Stegostoma tigrinum: one gene and its partners. The protein of the gene in region 1 interacts with the protein of each later gene in a pairwise test. Links are inferred from orthologs where the notes say so. Each region holds a gene or a part of one and is shown in the gene's direction. Other genes may lie near its edges.

Region 1 (7,406 bases):
ATTACCATCCCTTTATCACAAGCACTGAATATTTCTTTCTGGATATGCTGTCTCACATTGTGGTTAGTGTTATGAGGCCTACAGACCACTTGCATAAATGACGTTTCTCCCCCTAACATTCTTCATTTCTATCCAAACTGATTCTGCATTTTGATCTCCTGAATGGAGGCCATCTCTTACAAGTACACAAATGTCATCTTTGATTGACTTCCATATTTCCCACGCCTGCTATTCACCTTGAATAAACTGGAGAGGCCTTCAAAATGGGATAATGAGAGTTCAGAGTCTGTATGTTCCTGTTAGTATGAAGGGCAAGGCTGGTATGTGCAGGCAAGATAACAAAGTGTGGAACTGGATGAACACAGCAGGCCAAGCAGTATCTCAGGAGCACAAAAGCTGACGTTTCGGGCCTAGACCCTTCATCAGAGATGGGGATGTGGAGAGGATTGTGAAATAAATTGGGAGAGAGGGGGAGGCGGACTGAAGATGGTTAGAGGAGAAGATAGGTGGAGAGGAGTGTATAGGTGGGGAGGGGATAGGTCAGTTTGGGGAGGACGGACAGGTCAAGGAGGGGGGGATGAAGTTAGTAGGTTGGAAATGGAGGTGCGGCTTGAGGTGGGAGGAGGGGATGGGTGTGAGGAAAAACAGGTTAGGGAGGTGGGGACGAGCTGGGCAGGTTTTGTGATGCAGTGGGGGAAGGGGAGATTTTGAAGCTTGTGAAGTCCACATTGATACCATTGGGCTGCAGGGTTCCCAAGCGGAATGTGAGTTGCTGTTCCTGCAACCTTCGGGTGGCATCATTGTGGCACTGCAGGAGGCCCAGGATAGACATGTCATCAATTCTGTTTGACTAGGCAATTTGAAGCTCCGGTCAAGAAAAAAGAGGCATGTTTAGATATAAGGTGGGATAAAACAAATCCCTAGTGGAGTATAAAGGCAGTAGGAGCATACTCAAGAGGGAAACCAGTGGGGCAAAAAGGGACATGAGATGGTTTTAGCAAGAAGAGTTGAGGAGAATCCAAAGATATTCTACAAATGCATTAAGGGCAAAAGAGTAACCAGGGAGACAATAGGGCCCCTTGAAGATCAACAAGACCATCTATGTGTGGAACCACAGGAGATGGGTGAGATACTAAAAGAGTATTTTGCATCAGGTTTTACTTTGGAGAAGATTATCAAACCTAGAGAACTTGCAGAAATATACAGTGATATCTTGAAAGGCGTCCATATTACAGAAGAGGAGGTGCTGGACATCGTAAAGCTCATAAAGATGGATAAAGTGCTTGGACATGATCATGTGCTTCCCAGAACCTCGTGGGAAGTATTGGAAGTGATTGCTGCGCCTTTGCCTAAGCTATTTGCATCACTGATAGCCACTGGTGAGGTGCTGAAAGACTGGAGGTTGGCTAACATAGCACCACTATTTAAGAAAGGTGGCAAAGAAATGCCATACAACTATAGATCAGTGAGCCTGACATCAGTGGTGGGTAAGTTGTTGGAAGAGATTGTGAGGGACAGGATTTACATGTATTTGGAAAGGCAAGGACTGATTAGGGATAGTCAAAATGACTTTGTGTGTGAGATGTCATGTCTCATTAACTAGGTTGAGCTTTTTTTTGAAGAAGCGACAAAGAAGATTGATGAAGGCAGAGCAGTGGATGTTGGCTATATGGAATTGAGAAAGGTGTTCAACAGGTCCTGCATGGCTGGCTGGTTAGTATGTTAAGATCACATGGAATCTGGGGGTGCTAGGCATTTGGATATAAAATTGGCTTGAAGGTAGAAGACAGAGAGAGGAGGACTGGAGGTCTGTGACCAATGGTGTGATATAAGGATCAGTGCTGGGTCACTAATTTTTGTTGTTTTTATAAATGATTTAGATGTAAATGTAGGAGGTATGGTCAGTAGGTTTGCAGATGATGCCAATATTGGTGGTGTAGTGGGTAGTGAAGAAGGTTATCTCAGAGTATGGGACCTTGACCAGATGGGGGGAGGAGTGGCAGATGGAATTAAATTTAGATGTGTGAGGTGTTGCATTTTGGTCAGGCAAATCAGAGCAGGACTTATACAGTTAATGGTAGGGTCCTGGACAGGGTTGCCGAACAAAGAGACCTTAGGTGCAGGCTCATAGTTCTTTGAAAGTGGAGTAACAGGTGGCCAGAGTAGTGAAGAAGGCGTTTGGTACACTTGCCCTTATTAGTCAGTGTATTGAGTTGGGATGTCATGTTGCAGCTGCACATGAAATTTGTTAGGAATACTACGTTCAATTCTTGTCTCCCTGCTACAGGAAAGATGTTGTTAAACTTGAAAGGGTTCAGAAAAGATTTTCAAAGCTGTTGTCAGGGTTAGAAGATTTCAGCTACAGGGAGAAGCTAAACAGACTGGGGCTATCTTCCCTACAGCGCAGGAAGCTGAACGGAGATTTTTTGGAGATTTATAAAATCATGAGGAGTCTGGATCAGCTGAATTGCTAAGGTCTTTTTCCTTGAGTGGGGTAGTCCAAAATTAGAGGGCATGGGTTTAAGGTGAGAGAGGAAAGATTTAAAAGGGACTTAGGCATTTACAGAGGCAAGTTCCAATGTAAATGCAGGCAAACAAATTTCTAACGGTACTGTATAAGAAAAGGATTGAATATGATTGACTATTGATGTTACACACTACAGGTTTATATTGCATCTGATCCAAAACTTCATATGACTATATACATGTTAATTAAAACATGCAACAATGTTTGCATTTTTAGTTTGGTTGAACATCCTAACATGCTTCACAAGAATGCCAAGGATTTCCTAAAATGCAAAAGCTTGATCAAAGATTAGGTTTTAAGGGGAAAATAAGTCCAGGAGAGAATTGCAGAGATTACAGCTTTTTAATAATTCATTCAAGGGATGAGGGTGTGGCAGGCTAGGCTGGCATTTATTGCCCATCTCAGAGGGCAGTTAAGGGCCAACCACATTGCTGTCATAATCATCAATCAACTCCTAATTCCAGAACTACTTTTTGTTGAATTCAAATTACATCCTCTACCAGGCAGGACTTGAACTTAGGTCCCCTGACCATTACCCGAGTCTCTGATTGACAGACCCCTAATAATACCACTAGTCCACTGTCTGCCCTATCCTGGGCACCTGAAAGCACAGCTGTCAATGGTAGAGCATAATCTACGGGGTTGTACAGAAAGCCAGGATTGGAGGAGGGCAGAGATAATTGTAATTAAGGATATTACTGGAATATGTTGGGTTGAGGCAATGGACAGATTTACCACAAGAATAAGCATTTGTAATTGAGATATTGCTAATGTAAATCAAGGCAATATAATTGTGAGCATTGTTACTTGGTGTGAATTAGATGTGGGCAGCTAAGTTATAGGTTTACTCTAACTTTTTTTTATCTTCTTAAACATCTCACATAATTCTTTCACAGGATGTGAGTGTCGTTGTCTGGATCAGCATTCATTACACATTTGAGAAGGTGGTATTGAGCCACATTCTGGCAGTCCATTTGGTGCGATGACAGCTAGAATGCAGTTGGGAAACAAGTTACAAGGTTTTGACCCTACCACTCTTAAGGAACAAGGAAATTGTTCCAATTCAGGATGAAGTATGCAACTTGCAGATGCCTAAGCTATTGAGGACACAGGGTTACATCTCATCATGATAACTAGTGAAAGTTAAATGTAATTTAAAAACACTGAACATAACACTAGACTCAGTAATGATACCACGGCAATGTTCATTGATTGTCATAAAATCCCATCTGGCTTATTAAAGTACTTTAGGGAAGGAAATCTGCCATCCTCACCAGATCTGCCCCACATGTAACTCCAGACTCATACCAATGTGGCTGACTCCTAACTGCTTCTTGGAACGGTCTGACCACTCATTTGTATCAAAACGCAAAGGCCGTGGTCTGAACATAGGAATCGGGAGCATAGCCGTCCCTCAGGCCACCCCAATTCCAATTCTGCCATTGAATAAGATTATGGCTCACCGCATTCTCAGCTTCACGTTTCCTGTCTGCCACTGATAACCTCACACGCCGCTCAAGCGCCGAAGGGAATTGCAAACCTGCTCGTGCAACCTACTCCCAGAATTTAACCCTCCCCTCGGCGACAGATGGGTGAAGTGTTTCAGGAACATGACATTTCAAGTGATAGTAGTGGTGGTTTGTGGTTGGGGTAGGGGTGTTGCACAAGATCCTCAGTACAGATTCTTTTAAGGAAGGAGGCTGCCATGCTTTCGTTACTGTGTCTTGCCTGCTTGTCCTCTCTCAGCGACAACGTGCTCTTGAAGATTGTTTGCAGTTGCTTGAAAGCGAAGCAGTTTCTCGCTGGTGAAGGATACGCGTGTTGCTGTTTGTCTCCTCCCCGGATGCTGTGATTGACAGATTCTGCAGAGCCCTGCTATGTGTGTGTGTGTGTGTGTGTGTGCTATATATTGTGTGGGCGCTTTGCAGAGAGCAGTTGTTCTGAACAGGACCCTTCACAGAATAGGACTGCAGTAATTTAACTCCCTGTCTCCTGTGGTGTAACCAGAAATTAGGACAAATTAAAACCGAACCCCCCCGCCGTTATTCTTTTCACATGTAAAAGACCTGTCTTATTGATTGTGTGTCATTGAGCGGAAGGATATGTTTTAAATCGTTACAAAAGCAGTGACGAGAGAGAGTGGGAGAGAGACAAGACTAAGCTCCGGGCTGTGTCAGTTTTCGGGTGAAATTAACATGGCGAGCGACTCTCCAGCGCGAAGCTTGGATGAAATCGACCTCTCGGCTCTGAGGGTGAGTAACCCAGATCAGAGCTCTCCTCGTGCCAGATTTTGCTTTCTTCCGGGAGATACATTGTTCCCTCTGTAGCACTGTCACAATCTCCAACACACCAATGTAGCAGTTGTGTGTCACAAAGATGTGCGATGTTACAATCTACATTTCCTGTCCTGTCTCAAAATTGTAGCAAATTGGCAGGAAGGATAAATAACACGTCTAAACCGAGTTGCTTGTGTTTATGTGTAACGTGTTAAGCTCATCATTCCATTAAGCTCACTGTACGCCAATGTCACAATGAATGGGGTGAAATGGAACCTGTTTAGATTTTTTTCATTCATCGACTACACCTCCTCCCCCCCCCACCCCCCGCGCCGTCCAACACCACCCTCCCTCATTCCCGCAGTGAATTGTTTCAATTTGAAGGCATTTGTTACCTTGTGTGTTTGTGGGCGCTCCCAAACCGAGACGATGTTTCATAACATGCGTTTGTAAAGCCTCCGGTTGGAGAGCTTCCTTCAATTTTCTCTGCAGAAAGTGAATTGTTGCTTATTTTCAAGCATTTCGCGAAATTGAGATTGCTGGTCAGAGACCAGGTACGGGGCAGCCTCAGCTTTTATAATAACATAGAGAGGAAAATAAAATACAACTGGATAAAGGAAGAGAAGCTTGGGCCAGGGGTATCGTGCTGTTTCATTCAGCCTACACAAAATGTGTTTGCTGTTAGGGAGGTGGTGGTCAAAGGGTCCTGAAGGGAAAGCTAGCGGATGAGAGATTCCACCTCTGTCTGGATCCCATGCACAAGACCCTGAATGGTTTAATGGCTACGGCAATAGGAGCTGTCATCAGCGACAGGCGTTCACTAACATAATGCTTCGAAGGGAAGGAATCGTTTGGATACCAAACAAAAAAATCACTACTGTTTGTGAGCCTAAAATAGCCTGTCGAAACTTGGGACATTTCAGTTTTGGCCATCTGGTCAGAAGAAGAGAGAGATTCGTGAACATTTTAAACGATCTGTAATGACCCTGATTATTGTGCATGGTAGCCCTGCATAGCGGTGTCTGGTTGAGAAAGACACGAGAAAAGACCGGGAAGAGATGGAGAGGGAGACTGCAAGGAAGGGAATGGGGTAGTTGGTGTTGGAGGGGGGGGGCGGTTAGAATTAGGATGGGGAAGAGTGTGGGAAGGGGAACTTGAGTGGGGAGGGAGCTGATCGTTGTGGAATTTGATAATGGTGATATTTCCATTGTTTAGTGTGCATGATTATCATAAACATCTGTTGTGGAGCCACTTCGGAGTGTAGTGTAGGGGCTTTGTTCCGAGGCACTGAAGGAGCTTTCTGGCTAATTATCTCTTGATTTGCTATAGCATGTCTGAACAATTCTGCTTTTGGCATTTTCAAAGATATTGTCGTGTCAGGGCGCATGTTGGTGGGGGAGGGGGGGGAAGAAATCGAGATTTCAGGTTCAGTGCCCTCTCTCCCAGTTTCTGTTTGTGTGGTTTATTGAGGCAAGTGAGAAAGCCAGTGCAAAAGAAGCACAGGTTAACCCAACAAAGCGCTACTTCCCTCCATTCACTACCAGTTTGGCAAACTGACAGCAGGAATTTGTGAAGTCTTTCAGCAGAGCTGTCACTCTCTGCCAAAAGGAGAGATCTTTGTTTTCATCTCTCTCCACCGTCTCGCCGCTCTGAAAGCTCAGTACAACCCTCCGAGATCGCTGCTGCCTTCCAATATTTGCCCCCTGAGGATTTTAATCTCACCATTAAGGAAACTTCTGTTTACAGCCTGAACTCTTAAGTTCTGGAATCCACTCCTGAAAGGGGGACTGGGAGACGAGAGCTGTAAGCCAATCATTAAGGCCAATGTCTTCGACCAAGCTTTAGGCCGTATGTCCCAACATCTCCCTATGCAGCTGAGTGCCACAATCTATTTAATGACAAGCACCGTGGAACATTTAAATACATGAAAGGTGCTATGTAAATGCACAAAGTTGTTGCCATCCCCCACCCGAGGGTTAGTATTTTGAGTTTAGCGGCTCAGGTATTCCGAATTGAGTTGGGTGGGGGAAATGGGCGTGTGTAAATGTGACTGGAACCACTTCCTCATATGGGGACGGAGGGAGCAATTGTCAACACCGCCAGGTCGGGCTGAACGGCCTCTGTCTGTGTCGTTGGTTGTGTTGTAGCGGTGTTAGGTGAAAACAGACTGCCCACACGTGAGTAAAGTAGGTTGGATAGCATTGGGGTGAGGCTGACTGTGGGGCCGGCCCGCGCTGATTTCCACAGCTTGCGAGTGTGATTGAAAGAAGCCAGTCGTCACTGAATGCTATCCGAGGTCTGATGTTGGCCCCTCTGGCTTGGAATGTGAATATTACATGGTCACTATCTTACATGGTTGGAGCTGCTGAGTTTGGTTCCAGCTTGTCTTGAGCGCATGAAAATGGAGCGGGAATCTCGATCTGTTTTGTCTGGGAGCGAGTTCGTGCCTGCCCTTCCAAATCAGTAAGGTGTTTTGCGTGGAAATTACAGCAAAAATTGACAAGATCTCCCCCTAAAACAATCAACGGCCTGTGGCTCTGAAACCAGCAGGGGCCCTGTTTTTCATCAGGTTATGTCCTCAGGTATACGGGACTGAGACGAGG
Region 2 (6,943 bases), on another chromosome or scaffold:
TCAAGTGGCCAACATTACAGGAGAATACAAAGGAAACACTTCAATGACACTCTGAAGCTCTCCTTCAAGTGCTGTGGCATTTATATTAATGACTGGAAGGAGTTTACTGCCAATCATCTAAAATGGAAAAACTTGTCTAACAAACTTCATCATGCTTTGATGCAAACACATCATCGATGGAGACAGAGCAGCTGCAGTGAAGGAAAGAACAGAAGCAAATCTTGCATTCTGGATCCCCCTATCTCCCGGTATCTTCTGCCCCATGTGTCCAAAGTCATGTGTATTGTGAACTGTTCTATCATTCACTTGAAGCCATGGGAGATACCCACAACCCCAAGGAGGCATCATCCTTGAACTGATACACAGCCACTATCAATCACCTTGAGAGACAAGGGCAGCAAGTTTCTCCCCACACCTCAAATCATTCTAACATGGAACTGTTGCAATTTCTTAACTGTTGTTTGGTCAAAATCCAAAACAATTGGGTGTATTTATGAACTGCAGTGGTTCACCATCACGGAGGTCAATTAGGAATAAACTATTAATGTGTGCCATGTTAGTGATGCTCACATTCCCAAGATCTCCAAAATAAACAAAGATTTTGGGAGCTAAAAAGGACAGAAGCAGAAATTTGGAAAAGGTTCCGTAGTTGGGGAAAAAAAAACAGAATATATTTACTCTACGTTTATGGATTCTTGGAGACTGTCAGTAAACATATGAATTAAGAACAGATGTAGTCCATTCAGCCCCTCAAGCCTGCACTGTCATTCAACAGGGTTGTGGCTTGGAGACTCTCAGTAAACATATGAATTAAGAGCAGATGTAGTCCATTCAGCCCCTCAAGCTTGCACTGTCATTCAACAGGGTTGTGGCTGGTCTGATCACAACCTCAAAATTTGCATTCCCACCCACTTCTGATATTCTTTCACCCTTTTTCTTAACAAGAATCTATCTACCTCTGCCATAAAAATATTCAAGGACCCATGCTTCCACTAGCTTCATAAGCAACAAGAAAATTGCACAAAATATCTATAAATTTACCTTTACAGCAATCCTTGAATTGCTTGGTAATGTCAACCCAGTTTGCATTAATTTTTTCCATCTTTTCTGAGATACCAAGTCCCCAGCCAATATCGTCTTCGTCCAAAGATGCTTTAGTGACCATGATAACTGTGGACATCAAACCATACAAGATAAATTGGGTTAGATTCTTCAGCAGAGGAGATTTTTCTGTTTCCTGTTGACTGGAAGCCTTTACACAAATCGAAGATTTGTCTTCACTACAGGGCTCAGTAATAACAAAGATTTTCAACCTTTTCCTGAGACCTCCAAGGACAGTATCAACTATCACGGAGAAAGCACTGTTGTTTTATTAATTACAGCAATAGATAGGCAGATACAGAATTGATAAGCTGGGAAGACATGGCTGATTGGGTCTGTGTTGGAAGGACGCAGTTTCTCAATATTACTGTCTCTAATCATTATGCTAGGGGGAAGGAGAGGTCTTCATTCAACACACCTGAAATCAAACTTGCCCAATCCTCCACCATCACAATGGGAAGAATGAAAATTTCTCCCGAGTAGTTCCATCTGCCTCAAAACAGATTAATGGGGAATGGCCACATTTTGCAACTCTTTGGCCTCTTACTTCTTTCCTCCCATGTCTATGTATCAGATTTCATGAAAATTCTACAGGCACACATTGCTTCTGGATGAAGATGGCTTCTCACTTTCTCCCCATTATAGAACTTGTGAAAGTTTTCGCTTATCATTATTGATGACCCTCTTTTCTCCTTTGCCCAATGGAGTATGCTACAAACCAAATTAAAATGTTCTTTTCCCCAGATTCTGTTACCACTTCCCTGTTCCAGCGTCTTAGACCATAACAATACTATCAGGATCAGCAGTGGCATCTCTTCTCACCATTCAGCAATTGATATTCTCTTCAAAAAACAAGCCGGCTGATAAGAGTCAATTATCCCATTCTTAAGCAATATAATTCAACAGATATTAAACACTTCACACTTGGAAACATTTCACCAGTTACAAATTGCCATTCTAAAAGTGATTTGCTTTTACTAATCTCTGTCTGTTAACCAATCTATGTTGATGCATTATCCATTAACTCATGTGTTCTAATCATGAGTAACTACCTATTACGGTGATACCTTATCGAATTTGGTCTGAAAATTCATTTATAACAACATCCATGGAGGGGCTCATTTGGTGCAGTGGTATTAGCCCCTACCTTCGGTGCAGAAGACTCACCTACAAGGGCTTGTGGTGTTCGAGGCCTGGATAGAGATTGGGTGATTGGCAGAAGCAGAGAATGGAGATAAAGAGGTCTTTTTCAGGATGGTAGCAAGCGTCTAGTGGAGCTCCACAGGGATCAGTGTTGGAACCATAAGTAATCATGTTATACATTCCAATTATTTGGAAGGAGGAACTGATGGCATTGTTGCTCAGTTTTCAGATGATACAAAAATAGGTGGGGGTACAAGTAGTGTTACGGAGGCAGGGAGACTACAAAAGGACTTGGACAGGCTAAGTGAGTGCACAACAAAGTGGCAGATGGAATGGAATATGGGAAAGAGAGTTTATGCACTTTTGTAGGAAGAATAGAGGTGTGGTCTATTTTCTAAGTAGGGAACGGCTTCAGTAAAAGATCAGGATTCTCAAAATTAACATGCAGGTTCAGTTGGCGGTTAGGAAGGTCAATGAAATATTAGCTTTCATTTCAAGAGGACTAGAATACAACAGCAAGATGTACCACTCAGGCTCTGGTCTGACTGCATTTGGAATATTGTAAGCAGTTCTGAGTCCTGTATCAAAGGTTGGATATGCTGGATCCCCTCCCACATCAGAGGATGTTTATAAGAACGATCCTGGGGGTGAAGGGCTTGTCATTATGAGGAGCAGTTTATGACTCTGGGTCTCTACTGAATGGAATTTAGACGAATGAGGCGGAATCTCATTGAAAAACTTATAGGCTACTGACAAACCTGGAAAGAGGGGCCATGACGAAGACGTTTCGACTATTGAAGAGAACGGGAGCCAAGGGCACAGCCTCTGAGTGAAGAAATGATTGTTTGAACTGAGGATGGTGAAATTTCTAGCCAGAAAATAGTGAATCTGTGGACCTCCTTGTCGCAGAAGGCTGTGGAGGCTGTTTTTGACTGCGTTTAGGCAGAAATAGATAGGTTTTTGATTGGTTAAGGGATCAAAGGTTATAGGGGGAAGGCTGGAAAATGGGGTTGAAAAACATGTCAACCATAGTAGAATGGCGAAGACGACTCCTTAGGCGGAACGGCCCAATCTTGCTCCTATATTTTATGGTTTTCTTTAAATCACGTTCATGCAACTATTAATCCATTGCAGAGGCCATACGTGTAAAGTCGAAGGTGGATGAAAATTGTCACCAGTTGCTCAAATTTCCATACATGATTTTTCGAGGAGGTACGCGGAATGAAGCATATCTAACTGAATGACTACTTCTCCCTACAGAAGATTGCACCGTTTCATCCTCTCTCCTTACCTTGAGAGTGAAGCTACCTTCAGCACATCACCGTGACCTGGGTAGCCGAAACCATACTTCAAGTTCGTCATTCGGCTGCCGCTGCGCTTCGCATTTTGGGAACTGTAGTCCTGACCTGGGCAGGAATAACGTCCACGCCATGTCTGGAAAATTTCCCTGGAACTACAAATCCCATCGGCGCCACAAATAGCGAATTATCGCGAGGACCAGCTCGAGTCTGCGGAATGTGAATTTGACCATTTCCTGCAACGGAATTCTCCCCGGCAGCCGTGGTTGTGGTGGTGGGGGTGGGGGTGGGGGGACCGGAAGAGCCGGGGAGGTAAATGGTTAATGGTGTTAATTGCTATCATAGCCTTTACTTGGACGTTCTGGAGTCTGTCAGGAGATTACTCATCCATCGAGATCAGTATGAGAGAAAGAGACTGTATGTGTAAAGTGCCTTTGACAGCCTGAGGGATTCCCTGCCAATGAAAGTAAGTGTGGTCACAACAACAAGCCGCGTCGCTGTCTGAGCTGATCAGTATTTCAATGGGTTAGGATATTGGGATTGCTCACCGTTCTCCTTGTGCAATGGATCTGGACTCTTATTTGATTCAGCTGAAAGTTTCACGAACGATGGTTTCCATCTGCTGCATATTGATGCTGGCAACTCGGCAGAAAATATTTTTTTTGTAGGCACTGTGCGATTGCCCTGTGATTGTCTGCCACTTTGCGCTTTTGTTCTTATATTAAATTCTAAATTCTCATGGGCGCTCATACGAGACCCAGCGCATATTCGCAGTTAAGGAATACCCACCTTGTGGGAAGTGACGAAAGTAAAGTGCTGATGAAGACCTGCAGGTCTGGCAGCATCAGGTAGAACAGAATTAAGTTTGTTTTACATTGTTGTAGATAGTAAAATTGGTCAGCCTTGTTGTGCCATTATTTTACAACTATTTCAGCCATTAGAAAAGAATAGTCTTTTTTTTTGAAGAAGAGTTCAGACCCGAAACGTCAACTTTGCTGCTCCTCTGATGCTGCGTGGCCTGCTGTGTTCATACAGTTCGACACTTTGTTATCTCAGTCTTTTTTTTGTTCTTAGTTTCTTGCCTTTTGTATCCCCATTCCTATTTTTGATGGGATCAATCAGAGAATTACCCTAAATTTATTCTGTGGATAAATTGCTTTTATACTTGTGTTTTACTTTAATATTTGTGCAATCTGGGGAGGAGGGTCTCCAGAATGCTGTTTTAAATTCTGAGGACAGGATCACCAATTAGTAAGACCATAAATAAGAAGTAGGAGCAGGCCATTCGGCCCTTTGAGCCTGAGCTGCCATTCAGTAGGGTCAGAGTTGATCCAACATCCATCACCTCCACTTTTTCTACCTTATCCACATAATCCTTCGTTGCCCTACGATCAACAATCTACCTCATGCAGGCCAGTCGAATTGGATTTATGTTTATCATGCATGTGTTAGCTTGTGTCAATATTGCATATGATCAGCTGCGGGATTTAATACATACATAAGGGACCTTGAAATCTGCCTTAGGAACAATATTAACCTCTTGTGAAGATCTGTAGCCTGGGTTGTGGATGAAGTTGTTGGCTTGCTTGCCAAGCTGGCTAGTTATTATACAGATGTTTCATCACGATGCTAGGTAAAGTAATCAGTGTGGCCTCTGATAAAGTGATATTGTTCTACTCTGCTTGTTATTTATATGATCAGGACTGTGAAGTTGGGTTGTCTGATTTCTGATTCTGTTCTGCATGGGTTTTTGTATGGGGTCTAATTCCATATGTTTGTTGATTGCCTTACCAGTTGAAAACCAGGCCCCTAGGAATTCCCATGCTTGTCTGTGGTTGGCTTAAGCTAGGATGGTCACATTGCCCCAGTCATTTTGATGGCTTTCATTGTCTCAGTGTCCATCAGTTTAATTGGGATAATGTTGGAATCCCTGCAAATTATCATGATCACGCCAATTCATTTCATCTCCTCTCACTTAAATTAGAGGGAAATAACAAGATAATAAAGCAGTTTAGAAATGGGGCAATGATTACCAGAATATGCCTGGAAGGAACACAGGATACAAACTTACATGTGCATTAATACTTACAGCCACTGATTGTGAAAATGCTAAGAAGACATATTTAAAACAAACATAGATAATGCTCAAGAAACTCTCCAGGTATGGCAGCGTGTGTCAAGAGAGAAAAATACAGTTAACATTTTGAGTCTGGCATGACTCTTTTTCAGAACTGAAAGGCTTTTTTTTAAAGAAAACCATCCAACAGCTAAAGAACATGAACATGAAAATTCCTTGGGCAGATGGAATCCTTGCTGAAATTCTGAGACGCTTGGCATGACTGCATAATCTTGTGTCCTTCATTTGGGAAAAATAGCACATAACAAGTATTCTGAGAATCACTTATCACAACTGTATTCAAGAAAGGAGACAAGCCACAGTGAGCTAACTACACTTGTCACTGTCTTGCACAGGGAGTATCATTGCAAAGTTTCTTCAGTCACCTCCCCTGGTGGAGCTCCTTCCTGAGTTTTGGTGAAGTTTCTGCCCATCAAGAGTCACTGGTGTCATGGCCTTTATAAGGTGACAAGTCTGATGAAGAAAAGTGCAAGGAATTACACCGATCACTCCATATAACATTTTTTCAACCTCCTGAAGCCTTTCACTCTGAGCCTTTAAAGGCTTATTGAATATCTGTTATATTGGTGCTTCCTTTGGAATTAGGGATTATACACATGGTAAATGAGTGGTAAATCTGAATAGGAACACTTTGTTGATGATGCTCACACCTCTACAACCAGTTCAGGACTGTACTCAATATTTGTTCCTCTGGGTCACCTGACCAGCTCTCTTAAAGGTCTGGTAACCCTCACAACTACATTCATAATAATAACCTACTCAAATTTAGCTTCTTTCTGAAAGTTCCATGATATCATACAGGCTGGAATCTTCACAAACTGAAACACTACACATTCTGCCACAGTGAGAATTGGGGTGAAAAAGATTGTGACATTACACCAACACTCTACGGAATATGGCTGTTGGTAGTAATATAGTTCTGGGTGCTTTTACCCAGCTGTGATGACCGAGTGATAAAGATGTTGTATCTAAGTGCTGTATGTGGAATTTCAAAGTGAAGTTCAAACACAGCTTTCAGAGTCCATGATAGAAATGTTTATCTTTCAATGACTCTCAGACCTTTAAAGCATCACAGTATTTCTGTAGTGTGCTTTTCATGTTTACCAGATATGAAAAAAGATGCACAGGAGTAGGGCAGTGCTTTGAACCCAGTCCATGATTCAATGAGATCATGGCTAATCTTCTACCTCAACACAATTTATTTGCATAATGCTCACTAATGTCCATCAGGGAAGGAAATCTATAATCTCCCACCTGGTCTAGC
Region 3 (7,963 bases), on another chromosome or scaffold:
AAGAGACTGGAGAAATGTCACCACTGATGCCTTTGCAAGATTTTAGCAAGAACTTCAGCAGCAGGAACGGTAGTCCAACCGTAGGATCTCCCTACCATATCAATTTTCCCAGTATCAAGGCTTTAATTACTCAAATTCAAGTTTCATGGGTGGGACACATCATTCATAACCCGACTCCAGGTTCCTGAAGCAACTCCTCTACCTGGAACCCAGTCTCAGCAGGACACTATGAGGAAGACAGTGGAAATTCGTCAGAGATGTCCTCAAAGCACCCTTGAAAGTGTCAGACATACCTAGCGAATGACTTGCGTGAATCCCCGCTTGTGATGACCAACTGGAGAAGGCCTAAGTTGGCAGGCACCAAACACATCAAGAGACTTGGTCAGGAAAACAGAGAGGCAAAAGTCAAGGGATGAAAAGTGTGAACAAATGTCCAAACAACCCAACAACCCAGCCCTCCAGCACTTTGCGGAATCTACAGATTACACACCGGACTTATTGGGGCGTTATGCTGAGATTATACAGGTAAGGCCTCTTCGAGAATATTGTGTCTAGTTCTGGTCTCCCTGTTGTATGAAGGATTATGCCAGAGAGGGTTCTGAAGAGATTTACCAGGATGTTGCCGGAATCAAGGTGGGGGGGGTGGTGCTTGGATTTTAAAGAGAGGCTGGGACTTGTTTCACTGGCACACAGGAGGTTGAGAGCGTTTTTTTAAAGATTAGATTAGATTCCCTGCAGTGTGGAAACAGGCCCTTCGGCCCAACAAGTCCACACCGCCCCTTGAAGCATCCCACCAAGACCCATTCCCCTATAACACACACACCCCTGAACACTACAGCAATTTAGCATGGCTAATCCACCTAACCGGCACATCTTTGGACTGTGGGAGGAAACCGGAGCACCCGGAGGAAACCCATGCAGACACGGGGAGAATGTGCAAACTCCACACAGTCGCCCGAGGCAGGAATCGAACCCGGGTCCCTGGCGCTGTGAGGCAGCAGTGCTAACCACTGAGCCACTGTGCTGCCCCTGACTTTATAGAGGTTTATAAAATCATGAGGGGTATTGATAAGGTGAGTGGCAGGTGTCTTTTCCCTAGGCTGGGGGATTTCAAGTCTAGGGGGCATGTTTATAAGGCGAGAGGAGAAAGATTTAAAAACAACACGAGAGGTTTTGCTTTTTACACAGAGGATGGTTCATGTGTGGAATGATTTTCCAGAGGAAGTGGTGGATGCAGATACATTTACAATGTTTAAAAGGTATTAAGAGAAGTGTATGAATGGGACATGTTTGGAGGGATATGGGCCAAGCACAGGCATGTGGGGCTAGTTTAGTTTGGGATTATGGTGGGCATGGACTGGTTGGACTGAAGGTAACAAAGTGTAGGGCTGGGTGAACACAGCAGGCCAAGCAGCATCTTAGGAGCACAAAAGCTGACGTTTCGGGCCTAGACCCTTCATCAGAAAAGGGGATGGGGAGAGGTTTCTGAAATAAATAGGGAGAGAGTGGGAGGCAGACTGAAGATAGATAGAGGAGAAGATAGGTGCAGAGGAGAGTATGGGTGGGGAGGTAGGGAGGGGATAGGTCAGTTTGGGGAGGACGGACAGTTCAAGGGGGCGGGATGAGTTTAGTAGGTAGGAAATGGAGGTGCAGCTTGAGGTGGGAGGAGGGGATAGGTGAGAGGAAGAACAGGTTAGGCAGGCAGGGACAAGCTGAGCTGGGCTGTGTTCACCCAGCCCCACATTTTGGTATCTTGGATTCTCCAGCATCTGCAGATCCTATTATCTCTGTTTGGACTGAAGGGTCTGTTTCTGTGCTGTATGACTCCATGACTTTTGTAGCAGTCATCTTTGAACCCAAATAACTATTCGACAACTATCCACTGTTTGGAACAATTAAGGTTTTCATGATGGAATGTCTCATCCATCTGATTTCAAAGAGGCATTTACAGATGGCAAGGTTTGATAAGACATATCTCACACAACAATTCCACTCATGAGTCACTTAATTAGTAATTTGAAGGAACTGAATTTAGGCTTCCAATTAATTAAATTGGTCTGAACTCAGTAACTAATCAAATTCTTGCCACAAAAATTAGTAACGTTCCTCAAGACTTCAGTGAATGCCCTACACAACAGTTTGCAGCAATTATCGCCCCCACACTAACGGCGGGGGGGGGGGGGGAATTCCACACATACGTGTTGAAAGCTGCGGAGAATAAACATGAGACACAGTACATCTCACAAATCAATGAGGACCAATTAGATACGGATTGGAAAATTCCAGACAAACATGAACAGAAACAGCATCAGATATGATCGATGTGATGTACTTACCTGTAAATTATAGTCAGGAAATATACCAATCCAAAGGGCAGAGGACGGGATATTCAGTCACCATGGGACAATGGGAAGAGGGCACGGGGAAGAATGATATTGCAGTAGGGACACTGGCAGGGATCAGGAGGGCACAAGGGAAGCTTTCAAAGCAATATGGAAGGTTGGTAGGAGGAGGTAGGATGGCCATTGGCGAAAATGGATTGGGCAACCAGATTAATAGAAAAGGACAGGTAAACAGGCTGGAATAAGGACCAAGGTACACATTAGGACAGGGCTAGGACCCCTTGACTCCTTGGACATCCTGTACCATTTGAAAGGAGCATGGTTGACCAAGCTTACATTTCAGACTCAGCAATGACATCTGGGTTAGTCAGGGGTCCATCAAGCAGCCTTGAAAATATTCAATAAGCCACCCTCCATTTTCTCCGGGAAAGAGAGTTTGACAGATTCACAACCTCCTGAGAAAGAAAAAAAATCATCTCCATCTCAAAATGGGGACTCCATGATTTTGAACTGTGCCTTTTGTTCTAATTTCTCCCTCAAGGGGTGATATCTTTTCAGTATCTACCCTGTGAAGTCCACCTCAGCATCTTATATGTTTCAACAGGATCACCTTTCATTCTGTGAAACTCCAATGAATACAGGCCCAACCTGTTTCAACATTTAGCCAATGCCCAGAAATAATACTGAAGAAAATCAGGAGTGGGACAACACTCTCTTTTGCCACAATGTTAATATAAAAGAGGAGGTGCCTTGGGGAAAATTAACCACTGTGCATAACTTCAAGAAGATTGTTGGCATTCCAGTTGTCATCTTCTTATCCCTGGCATGGGCACTAACCTGGGCAATAACACCTCCAGCTGCTTCACTGCCCAGCTAGCTCCATACAAATACAGCACATGACGTGGCAAGGAGGTAGAGCAGATTGTAAAATGAGAGATAAAGGGGCAAGGAGCTATACCAGGTATAGGTGTTGAAGACAGTACAATGGGGGATTAAGGGAAGAAGAGGTGTTCAGGTTTGGGTTGACAAATGAAATGTAACATTAGCACCACACAAATGCCAGGCAATGACCAACTGCAGCAAAGACTCTAATGACCATTCCTTGTTATTAATTGCTATTATCATCACGGAATCTCCCACTATCAACATCCAGGAGGGCACCATTGACCAGAAAGTCAACTGGATCAGCCATATCAATATATAGGAGCAGGTCAGAGGCTAAGAATGCTGCATGGAGTAACTCACCTCCTGACTCCTCAAAGCCTGTCCCACCATCTACAAGGCACAGTTCAGAGTGTGATGGAATACTCCCCACTCACCTGGATGGGTGCAGCCCCAACAACACTCAAGAAGCTTAACACCATCCAGGTCAAAGCAGCCTGCTTGATTGGCACCACATCCACAAGCATCCACTCCCTCCTCCACCAACACTCAGTAGCAGCAGTGTGTACCGTCTAAAAGATGCACTGCAGAAATTCACTAAAGATCCTCAGGCAGCACCTTCCAAACCATGACCTCTGCCATCTAGAAGGACAAAGGAAGCAGGCACATGGGAACACACCACCTTCAAGTTCCCCTCCAAGCCACTCACCATCCTGCTTTGGAAATATATCGCCATTCCTTCACTGTCACTGGGTCAAATTCCTGGAATTCCCTCCCTAAGGACTTCGTGGTCTACTTACAGCTCACAGACTGCAGCGGTTCAAGAAGGCAACTCACCGCCACCTTCTCAAGGAGGAACTAGGGACGGGCAGTAAATCCTGGCCCAACCAGTGATGTCCATGTCCCTTGAAATTAATTAAACTGGATAGCAGGTGGGCCAGGAAAAAAGGGATGGGTGGGTAGGAAAGGGAGGTAAAGAAGTGAGGAGGTAAAGCATGTGGGGAGGGAAATAGAGAGGCAGCTCAGAAGGGAGGCCTCAGGACCATGAACAGCTGATTGAGAAGGCAAGGGATTTATGAAGGCGCGGGGAGTAAGAGGGCAATCCTGCGTTATACAATGGAAATAGTTTGATTTGTTATTATTTATATCACAGCAAATCTCACTCCACCACTGCGTGTGCTGCCGATTGTTAGACAGTGTGCGGGAGGCTGCCCATCCTACCCCGGCCAACAGCCTCAGTGTGTCCCAGTGAACACAGCCCCAAAGTTGCTGCGCCCGGGTTTCACAGCAGGTAAGCGCAGGGCTTAAGTTTTGAGCGGAGTCGGCACACAGCCGAATCAAAAAAAAAGGCAAAGACTAAGAAGGCCCAGCAGGAAACAGGAAAGATGGTCAGGACTGCTGCACTGAAAAAAAAGAGCAAAGTTGGGGGCAGCTCTTGGGTGGGGATGGTGCGAACCACTTGCGATATAAGGATACACGAACCCCATGCAATTCGGAGAGTGTCCTGTAGGATACGATATGTCCCCTCCCTCTGATGTGCATCGGAGGGGGTGGGAGGAGCACTTGACGTGACTGTTCCTGCAGTCAAGATTCAGACATTTTTTTCCACTCTCCCTCTCACCCACCTTCCCTCAAATGCAGTTCGCTCCTCTGCTCCAGATTTGAGCTGCAGCTTGCAAGATTTGGGAGGCTGAAGCAGGATGAGAAATTGCAGGGGAGCCGGACACAGGGCGAGCCAGTGAGGAAGTGCTCCCAGTTCAGGCTGCCTATCCCACCACAGTTTCACCTCACCCCCTCCCATCCCATCCCATCCCATCCCCCCCCTCCCCGCCTACCCAGTCTTTCCTTTCACTACCCCAGCAGCACACCACAGACTCGGAGTCGCTGCCTGCATTTTCTGAGCTGGAACCTTCGCCTTTACAACTATATCCTCTCCCCTTCTCTGTATCGGTTTTCAAAGAGAACCCCTCACAATGGAACTGAGTAAATAAGCTGAGCGATTCAGGAAAAGGAGCAGCGTTTGCACCTATCTCTGGTCTCTATTTCCACCCCACCCCCCAAAAAAAACAGGCCAGTAGGGGGAGGAGGAGGAGGGTTATTTTATTTTCAAGCGATTTCAAAGCGTGAACCTGACACAGAGTGTGACTTGGGGAGATTCCCAGATCTCTCTCTCTCTATCACACACACAGCTCCTGAAGCTGTAATCGAGTGAGTGAGGGGAAAGAGTTGAACAACCCCCGGGACTGACGAGAGGAGCTGGTGCTGCGAACTGGGGCCGGCGGACAGGATGTCATCTCAAGCAAAATTCAAAAAGGACAAAGAGATCACCACGGAATATGAGACCCAGGTCAAAGGTAGGTTCCCGACTGTATGTGTGGTTTTTCTGTTTTGTTCTACGCCGTGCAATGTTTTGGGACCCCTCCCCGACCCCGGTGTATTAATCTGGGGTATTGCACAAACGCACATGGAAATAGGCTACCTCCAGGTTAAATGGGATTCTGGAGCTGCTGGGACAGTTGGAGTTACGTTATTTTTTTGTTGTTGTGTAAAAGGGAAGGTGGGGAGGGGGGAGGGGAGGGGAGGGGAGGGTACAGTTTCAGAACTGCATTGCAGTGTGTTGGAAAGCTGGAAGCAGTAGCTAAGCAAGCTTCTCGGTTAGGCGGCAGATTGTGCTGACGATCACACCCGCGTCCCTTGCTCAGAGCTAGGACGCGTTAATAGTGCTCTCTGCTTTCTCTCTCTTCTTCCCCCCCCCCCAACTTCTGTTTCCCGTGTGTTGCAGCCGTACCCCCCCCCCCCACCCCGCCTTTTACTTTATTATTAATAAAGTAGCTGTTTCAACCAAAGGGGGGGGGTCTCTTGCTTCCCAAAATCACTGTGAGATCCGCGCCCCCCCTTTATAAATCAAACTTGTATATTAAACATAATAGGTTGAGTTATTAAGGGCTGAGGGTGTGGGGGGGGGGAGAAGGATAAAAGTATCTTGCCCCCCCCCCCGCTTTAATCAGTGTTATTGCGCCCCCCCCCCCCCCCGTTCCCCGGGTACAGGGAGACTGACAGAGGCTCCCAAATCCAAGCATTGATCGAATTCTCTGGGTCCCCTTCACGCTTTAGGGTTGGCTCTGTGTTAGATATCGCTGGAGATTTCACGTGGTTTATTTCCTTTCATCTCCCCACCTTTCTGTTTTGCTCGGTGTGTTGGGGGTCGGTGAGGTAGAGCAGGGGAAATAATTATGCCCCTGGATTAGTATAGCCCGTATGGTCCACCAACCCCTTGTATCTGCCTCAATCAGCCCTATTGTGCTTGTCCCCTTTTTAAATAAAAGTACTGGTAAAAATGATGTATTGAAGTAGGTTTAAAAGGTGTGTATCACTATCTACTCAATCTCTTCCAAACAGTGGTGTATTTTAAACTCCATTAACAGGGGTTTTACTGCCAGCTCTGAGTGAGCGATGTGTCAGAGTAACTGGAATGGCTTCTGTCTTCTGATCTCTGCAGTGAAGGTTTTAACTCAGCCGATGTAATGCTGTCTGTGTGTTTGTGCTCTGAATAAGGTGAATGTTGCTGCTGGGGGAAGCTGGTTTGGTGGGGGGTGGGTTGGGTGAGATGTGACAGGAGCTGGTGTTTGCAATGCCAGTTGGTATGGAAGAGAGAACAGGACCCTGAGAGGGGAAAAAGGAGGGATTGCTGTCTCCCTACTCTCTCATTCTTCACCCCACCAGCCCCTCTCCTGCTGCTGGAGCTCACTGACTTTCCAGGGATGGAGGGGCTCTGGGCCAATGTCAGACACAGAACTAAGTGTTGGCTGGAACAGCCCACAATGACCGGGGCTGCTGTTAGTTTTCTGACCCACACTGTGCAGTTTTGGTCCTGGCAGAGACTTGTCCAGGTGGATTGTTGTTGAGACTTTTGGAACTGTTTGGGGTGTGAGTGGCTTGTGACACTGCACCATTCTGGTTCTGCATTTCCTCTGGGTTAATGTGCTCGTTTCTTCTTTATAAAAAAACCATGCTTGTTATCTACCCCTCTCCTTACTGATGCTAGATGGGGTTCTGCTGTTGCTACCCGAACCATCCAAGTCAGCTGCCTTCACATGGGGACCCTGGTTGTTACTGCCAGGGCTGATGACGACCACACTCGAGCCCCAATCCTGCCCATAGGCCCGAAACATCAGCTTTCCTACTCCTCTGATGCTGCTTGGCCTGCTTAATTCATCCAGCTCTACACCTTGTTATCGTGTACCTGAGACTGTTGTTTCAATTTTACCTTTTTTTTCTAATCAACCTATTGTGCACCTCTGGAGCAGTTGGGACTTGAACCTGGGCTTCCTGGCCCAGGGATAGAGACACTGCCTCAGCGCCATAAGAGGGCCCTGAGTCTGCAGTTTGTTTTTAAAAAAACATTTTTCCAATCATACTGTTTTGGAGATGTTATTGATCACCTCTGGAGCAGGTGGGGGCTTGAACTTGGGCCTCCCATTCCTGGGTCGGGACAGTACCACCAGGCCACAAGAGGGTCCTTGCTTTCTGCCTTTTCAGCAAAAGCCTCTGTCTACTGAGCAGGCAACACTGAGGCAAGTCTTAAAAACCTCATTCACCCTCCTGATGCAATTGGTTAACTCTCAGTGAAGGACAGAACCTCTGCTGGCCAGGGCCATAGGGTACAGTTATCTATCATCACAATCCAAGAAGTATATCTTTCCCCTTATAATTCAATTTAATATCACCACTGGAATAGA

The links. The genes of interacting proteins can lie anywhere in the genome.
Region 2: the proteins of traf2 and NCK-interacting protein kinase (region 1) and agtpbp1 interact in a two-hybrid assay, tested with the Homo sapiens proteins (2 studies listed by BioGRID and IntAct). The link is inferred for Stegostoma tigrinum from reciprocal best matches to the Homo sapiens genes TNIK and AGTPBP1.
Region 3: the proteins of traf2 and NCK-interacting protein kinase (region 1) and srgap3 interact in a two-hybrid assay, tested with the Homo sapiens proteins (2 studies listed by BioGRID and IntAct). The link is inferred for Stegostoma tigrinum from reciprocal best matches to the Homo sapiens genes TNIK and SRGAP3.

What each region holds. Positions count from the first base shown.
Region 1 is NC_081367.1:57,294,977-57,302,382, reverse strand, and holds the start of traf2 and NCK-interacting protein kinase, read left to right. Parts: upstream 1-4,279; 5' UTR 4,280-4,722; coding exon 4,723-4,779; intron 4,780-7,406. UniProt on the Homo sapiens protein: Serine/threonine kinase that acts as an essential activator of the Wnt signaling pathway. Recruited to promoters of Wnt target genes and required to activate their expression. May act by phosphorylating TCF4/TCF7L2.
Region 2 is NC_081356.1:58,904,141-58,911,083, forward strand, and holds the start of agtpbp1 (cytosolic carboxypeptidase 1), read left to right. Parts: upstream 1-3,815; 5' UTR 3,816-4,008; intron 4,009-6,943. Other genes in the region: naa35 (N-alpha-acetyltransferase 35, NatC auxiliary subunit), read right to left, coding at 1,042-1,165. UniProt on the Homo sapiens protein: Metallocarboxypeptidase that mediates protein deglutamylation of tubulin and non-tubulin target proteins.
Region 3 is NC_081364.1:61,303,221-61,311,183, forward strand, and holds the start of srgap3 (SLIT-ROBO Rho GTPase-activating protein 3), read left to right. Parts: upstream 1-4,835; 5' UTR 4,836-5,511; coding exon 5,512-5,578; intron 5,579-7,963. UniProt on the Homo sapiens protein: GTPase-activating protein for RAC1 and perhaps Cdc42, but not for RhoA small GTPase. May attenuate RAC1 signaling in neurons.